Macaca mulatta: one gene and its partner. The protein of the gene in region 1 binds, or shares a complex with, the protein of each later gene. Links are inferred from orthologs where the notes say so. Each region holds a gene or a part of one and is shown in the gene's direction. Other genes may lie near its edges.

Region 1 (3,289 bases):
GAAGATTGTGCTTGCAGCTCAGGCAATTTCACGCTTTGCTTACCAGAAGATCAGTAATGGAGATGTGATCCTGGTATATGGATGGTATGGTCCAGACCCTGTGACTGAGCAAACTGGGGAGTTGGAATGATCTGAAGAAGGGACTACCCATTTGCCTTTGGGAATAAGTTGGGAATAAGTTAGTCATCAGTTACTGACATTTATAACTGAATCCTCCTCTTCATTCCCTCTAGCTCATCTCTGGTATCACGAATTCTTCAGGAGGCTTGGACAGAGGGCCGGCGATTTCGGGTGGTAGTGGTGGACAGCCGGCCACGGCTGGAAGGAAGGCACACGCTACATTCTCTAGTCCGTGCTGGTGTCCCAGCCTCCTACCTGCTGATTCCTGCAGCCTCCTATGTGCTCCCAGAGGTGAGTACAGAGGAAAAGGACTCCAAAGTTGGAGGTAAAAAAGTGTAGTAGTATAGATGTAATCTCACCTTCTCAAAGTTAGTTTTGTTTTTGTTTTGAGATAAGGATGGAGTGCAGTGGCGTGATCACAGCTCACTGCAGTCTTGACCTCCTGGGCTCAGGTGATCTTCCCACCTGCGCCTCTGAGTAGCTGGGACTACTGGTGTGCACCACCACGCCCAGCTAGTTTTTATTCTTCTTGTAGGGATGGGATATTGCTATGTTGCCCAGGCTGGAACTCCTGGGCTCAAGCAATTCCCCTGTCTCGGCCTCCCAAAGTACTGGGATTATAGGCATGAGCCACTGTGCCCAGCCACAATTATTTAAAAGTATTAGAATTATATAGTCCTGGCTTGGCGCCATGGCTCACGCCTGCAATCTCAGCACTTTGGGGGTCCAACGCAGGAGGATCACTTGAGCCCAGGAGTTCAAGACCAGCCTGCTCAACATAATGAGACCCTGTCTCCACACACACATACACACACAAACATACAAAATTAGCTGGGCATGGTGCATGCGCATGTAGTTCCAGCTACTTAGGAGGCTGAGATGGGAGGATTGCTTGAGCCCGGGAACTGCAGTGAGCTGTGATTGCACCACTGCACTCCAGCCTGGGCGACAGAGTGAAACCCTGTGTCAAGACAAAAAATTACATAGCCCTGTTTATATTTAATTGGAAAAACACTGACAGTATGTTACAGCAGTCTAGCTATTGCAAAAACATTACATTAAACTAGCAACCAGGAAGAGGGAACAAGACAAAAGTAACTTCAAAGTTTAGTTTTCCTGTGGGAGATTTGATGGGTCAGTGGTCAGGTGTTTTCACAGAGGAAGAGCCATCATTAAGATGTTTTCACAGAAGAAAAGCCATGATTAAGATTTATTACTTGCCAGGCCCAGTGGGTCACGCCTGTAATCCTATCTCTTTGGGAGTCCGAGGCAGGCAAATCATCTGAGGCTGGGAGTTTGAGACCAGCCTGACCAACGTGGAGAAACCCCGTCTCTACTAAAAAAACAAAAAATCAGCTGGGAGTGTTGGTGTGTGCCTGTAATCCCAGCTACTGTGGAGGCTGAGGCAGGAGAATCACTTGAACCCAGGAGGCGGAGGTTGTGGTGAGCCGAGATCGTGCCACTGCACTCCAGCCTGGGCAACAAGAGTGAAACTTGGTCTCAAAAAACAAAAAGATTTATTACTTGTCTCTTTGTTTTTGTTTCCTTCCCTTCTTTTCACAGGTGTTGAGATTATTTATTTTTTTTTTTTGTGATGGCATCTTGCTCTGTCGCCCAGGCTGGAGTGCAGTGGCGCGATCTCGGCTCACTGCAAGCTCCGCCTCCCGGGTTTATGCCATTCTCCCACCTCAGCCTCCCGAGTAACTGGGACTACAGGCGCCTGCCACCTCGCCCAGCTAGTTTTTTGTATTTTTTTAGTAGAGACGGGGTTTCACCGTGTTAGCCAGGATGGTCTCGATCTCCTGACCTCGTGATCCACCGTCTCAGCCTCCCAAAGTGCTGGGATTACAGGCTTGAGCCACCACGCCCGGCCATGTTGAGATTTATTACTTGTCTTAATGTTGCTGTCCTGTAAGTAGGGGACTTTATTCTGCATTGATACAACAATGACATTTTTTCTCTTCCCCTTCTCCTGTGAAACAAACAGGTTTCCAAGGTGCTATTGGGAGCTCATGCACTCTTGGCCAACGGGTCTGTGATGTCACGGGTAGGGACAGCACAGTTAGCCCTGGTGGCTCGAGCCCATAATGTACCAGTGCTGGTTTGCTGTGAAACATACAAGTTCTGTGAGCGTGTGCAGACTGATGCCTTTGTCTCTAATGAGCTAGGTAAGTAGGGCAAAAGAGAAGCCTCCAGCTACCTGTGAAGACTTGAGAGTGAGAGAGGGGCAGATAAACTAGAAATTCTTTTCTAAAAGAACGTAATGGGTACACCTTCCATTGCAGATGACCCTGATGATCTGCAGTGTAAACGGGGAGAACATGTCGCACTGGCTAACTGGCAGAACCACGCGTCCCTACGGTTGTTGAATCTAGTCTATGATGTGACTCCCCCAGAGCTTGTGGATCTGGTGATCACAGAGCTGGGGATGATCCCTTGCAGTTCTGTACCTGTTGTTCTACGAGTCAAGAGCAGTGACCAGTGAGGGGGAAAACACAGGGTTAATAAATGCCATAGTCCCTACCTTCAGCAACTCTGCTGCCTTTGTTTCTCTTTTAGCATCTCCACCTCTTAAGTTAGGAGTCCAGACTCCACAACCCCTTTTATCACCTGCTACTAACCTCAGACCTTTGTGAAGACCTGCTCAGGTAACTAGCTCCATGCCAGTGCATTGGGGCTAACCTGAAGGTCCGTATAAAGAACCAAAACTACCCAAATCAATCATTCACTGAGCATCTACATGCCAGATAGTAAACTAGGTATGAGGAGGAATATGAGAACAAATAGTCCTGGGCTGGGTGCAGTGACTCATTCCTGTAATCTCAGCATTTTGGGAGGCTAAGGCAGGGGGATTGTTTGAACCCAGAGGTTTGAGACCAGCCTGGGCAACATAGCAATCCTGTCTCTGCAAAAAATAAAAATTAGCTGGGCATGGTTGTGCTCATCTGTTGTCCCAGCTACTCAGGAGGCTGAAGCAGGAGGATTGCTTGAGCCCAAGAGGTAGAGGCTGCAGTAAGCCATGATCGTACCACTGAACTCCAGCCTGGGTGACAGAGTGAGACCCTGTCTCAAAAGAGTCCTGGCCGGGCGCGGTGGCTCAAGCCTGTAATCCCAGCACTTTGGGAGGCCGAGACGGGCGGATCACGAGGTCAGGAGATCGAGACCATCC
Region 2 (3,653 bases), on another chromosome or scaffold:
GAGACAGGCAGATCACGAGGTCAGGAGGTCGAGACCATCCTGGCTAACACGGCGAAACCCCATCTCTGCTAAAAATACAAAAAACTAGCCGGGCGTGGTGGCGGGCGCCTGTAGTCCCAGCTACTCCAGAGGCTGAGGCAAGAGAATGGCATAAACTCGAGAGGCAGAGCTTTCAGTGAGCTGAGATCAGGCCACTGCACTCCAGCCTGGGCGACAGAGCCAGACTCTGTCTCAAAAAAAAAAAAGAGGACAGACTCTGGATCCAAACTTCCTGGATTCAAATCCTGACTCATCACTTGTTAGCAGTATGTGAAAGAACAAGTAACTTAACCTGTGCTTCACTTTTTTAATCTAGAAAATGGGGAGAACTAGGGAGAAAGTTGTACCACAAGGAGATAGGCAGTGACCAGATCATATAGGATTCTGTAGGTAGTGAAAACATATATAAGTCAGTAGCAAGCCACTGGGAAGATATAGGCAGGTGCCAATTAATAAGTTATTAAATTAATTTTCACAAAGTTTTCTTAGGCCTTTAAGTTATGTTACTACTTAAGTTTTGAGCAGTGACAACAGTGAAGGTTAACAGAAAAACATGGAAATCATCAGCCATGATTAGTTTGAGAGCTTCCTTTTTAAATGTGCTTCTACCCAGATTATGATTTCAGGCTTGTGGATCATAGAAGGAGTAGTGCTGAAAGTAGGTTGGGTGGATCAAAGGGAATAATTGTAAATATCTTTAATGCTTGGAGGTTAAGAGAAACTTTAACTTTGTAGTAATGGAGATTAAAGCTATTCTCAAGATTAAGTATACCTATTCAATAAAAGAAAGGAATATTTGGGAGTATTGGGGATAAGAGAAGCTAGACATTGTGAATTCAAGGAAAAAAAATTATGAGAGGAGGAGGATGAATTTTAGTTTATTTTGTGATTAAGATTTTTTTAGTTTTTGTTGCTTTGACATGTGACGCTAATTTGGGCTATAATAAATGACAATATATCATATGGTATATTGGTTAAGATTTAGGTAGAAAATCTTTCCTTTATATAGTGAGTGGTAGCATATACAATGTTTGCTAACTTCAGCGAAGAGTAGCTTTAGTTTTCTGATTAGTTATAATAGTGATGCTTCCCATCATTTGATATGCCTTAAAGTAGTATTTTACTCTTGAGGTATTCCTTTAATCCTTAGGTCTTGGAGTACTTTATAGATGGTCATTATTTTTTATGATTCCTCTGAAACTAATGGCAGAGAATCACCCAAGCATTACAAAAATGTTGAGCAAAGTAAAAATTAAAGCTTGGTTCCTGAACATTATCTGTTTTCTGGTACCACTTAAGTTTCAAAGGATGAGAAGACTAAGACTAATAACTATTTTTTTCTTCATCTTTTCTTTCAGTGGCAAGATGTGGAAATTGATTTTTTTTTTTTCATCTTAACTGAACACTTATTTAATTCTTTTGTTTAAATTGCAGAATGCCGGGTCTAAGTTGTAGATTTTATCAACACAAATTTCCTGAGGTGGAAGATGTAGTGATGGTGAATGTCAGATCCATTGCTGAAATGGGGGCTTATGTCAGCTTGCTGGAATACAACAACATTGAAGGCATGATTCTTCTTAGTGAATTATCCAGAAGGCGTATCCGTTCTATCAACAAACTCATCCGAATTGGCAGGAATGAGTGTGTGGTTGTCATTAGGGTGGACAAAGAAAAAGGTAAGTGAGAAAAATATCTGTAATATAAATTTCAGATTTAAAATGGTTTAAAAATACATTTTTTGTAAATTGCATGCGGCAGCTTAGGGAAAAAAAGCTCTTTTTATACTTAAACCTCTTACATACAAAGTGGTTAGAAAACCATGTCAATTAGCTATTTAAACAAGATCTCTTAAGTTAATAGTAGTTTAATTAGTACATCCTAGGATTTTATGGATCAAATAACTTGAATTTTATTTCTAGTGTTTATCAGGATTTTGGTAATTGAATCATGGTAACTAAACTTAAAGAGAGTACTAGTTCATTTACATTGGTAGATCTGAATATGTTGGATGCCTTTTTTCTTGATTTAAAGCTAAAGTAGTAATGAGATCTTTGGGTAAGCATGAAAATGGGGCAGATGGGTTTTACGAATCTTTTATATAAGCCTTGAAGAAGCAATATACTATGTGTGTATATACACACCTGAAATCTAACATTGTATATCTTGCTGGTAATTAGAATGTTTGTGTCTACCAAATCCTGTGGTATCTTTCAGACAGTTTTGAATGACTATCCATTTTTTACTTATTGGATTCCTTTTCTGGACCCCATGTAAATCATCACCTTTGTGAATACTGTTTTTTAAAACATGGTATACAATACCATTAAGTAGGTTTTAATTTCAGCCATCTTACTTTAATTTGTTAGGTGTTAGTTTTAGGTCATTAGTTACTATCATGTCTGAAGGGCTGCATATCAGTCACCTTGATTCAACTTATCCTTCTGAATCTCCTTAGCTGTCTAGTTTACTGATACTTTCTCACTTCTGCAAGTGATTAATTTTATACATACTGACTTTTTTTTTATTATTATTATAGCCTTAGATGATACATAAATTTTGAGGTTATCTTATGCCTTAGGTAGTGACTGCTACTTAGCACATGGATTGTTTTAAATGTTTTGCTGTGACTTAGCTATAGCCCCACCCAAAATTATTAAACTACTTTGAGACTATTTGTTAAACTTACGTAAGTCTTCACATCACTGTCCTAGTAGTACGTAAAATAGTGTCTAATCTTGTACTTCGGTTTTTTTTTTTTTTTTTTTTTTAAGAGTTGGGATCTTGCTCTGTCACCCAGGCTGCAGTGTAGTAGTGTGATCATAGGTCGCTGCAGCCTTGAACTCTGTTCAAGTGTTCCTCAAGCAGTCCTCCCAAGTAGCTGGAACTATATGCATGTGCCACCCTGCCCAGCTAACTTTCTTTGTAGAGATGGGGTCTCACTATGTTGCCCAGGCTAGTCTTGAACTGGGCTCAAGTGATCCTCCTGCCTTGGCCTCACAAAGTACTGGGATTACAGGTGTGAGCCACTGTGCTCAGCCTTCTTTTTCTATTGTATGAAATATATACAAAAGGAGGAATCAAATATGTTTTTAGTTGCAATCAGAAAAAATATGGAATGGCATACTTGCTTACATACAGTAGATACATGTAAAGCTATTTCCATAGCATTTGTTTGTATGGCATTAACTAAAACCAGGAAATGACCAAAATGGGGACTGGTTAAATAAATCAGTACAAATGCATGCAATGCAATTTTATGCAGAATGAGATCTGAATATTCTGTATTCTGATATGGAAGATCTCTACGATAGGATGAGGAAAAGAGCAAAGTGCAAAACAGCCTGTAGAGATAATTCATTTTACTAGAGAATTAGGTCCTGCTAGATAAGCCTTTCGACGTAAATGCCATAAACCCTGAACAAGTATGAAAAATAACTACCTAAAGACAATGAGAAGCAGCCAAAAGCAGGCCAAACTTGAAAATTTGAAGGTGAGTCGACACTTACAAGAAAGGATATGTTGGCCGGGCATGGTGGGTCAAGCCTGTAATCCCAGCACTTTGGGAGGCTGAGACGGGCGGATCACAAGGTCAGGAGATCGAGACCATCCTGGCT

Evidence for each region. Proteins that work in one complex are often made in the same cells at the same time.
Region 2: the proteins of EIF2B4 (region 1) and EIF2S1 are in contact, whole or in part, in a cryo-EM structure (PDB 6O81), measured with the Homo sapiens proteins. The link is inferred for Macaca mulatta from reciprocal best matches to the Homo sapiens genes EIF2B4 and EIF2S1. Residues at the interface, in NP_001029288.1 of Homo sapiens: Asn245, Glu246, Glu247, Arg250, Thr285, Ser520, Ser521, Asp522; in NP_004085.1 of Homo sapiens: Met30, Tyr33, Met45, Arg55, Arg57, Arg75, Glu79, Lys80, Tyr82.

The regions. Positions count from the first base shown.
Region 1 is NC_133418.1:97,615,876-97,619,164, forward strand, and holds the end of EIF2B4 (translation initiation factor eIF2B subunit delta), read left to right. Parts: coding exon 1-84; intron 85-233; coding exon 234-411; intron 412-2,107; coding exon 2,108-2,288; intron 2,289-2,405; coding exon 2,406-2,605; 3' UTR 2,606-2,653; downstream 2,654-3,289. UniProt on the Homo sapiens protein: Acts as a component of the translation initiation factor 2B (eIF2B) complex, which catalyzes the exchange of GDP for GTP on eukaryotic initiation factor 2 (eIF2) gamma subunit.
Region 2 is NC_133412.1:140,529,294-140,532,946, forward strand, and holds part of EIF2S1 (eukaryotic translation initiation factor 2 subunit 1), read left to right. Parts: intron 1-205; exon of another isoform or gene 206-1,473; 5' UTR 1,474-1,474; coding exon 1,475-1,715; intron 1,716-3,653. UniProt on the Homo sapiens protein: Member of the eIF2 complex that functions in the early steps of protein synthesis by forming a ternary complex with GTP and initiator tRNA. This complex binds to a 40S ribosomal subunit, followed by mRNA binding to form a 43S pre-initiation complex (43S PIC).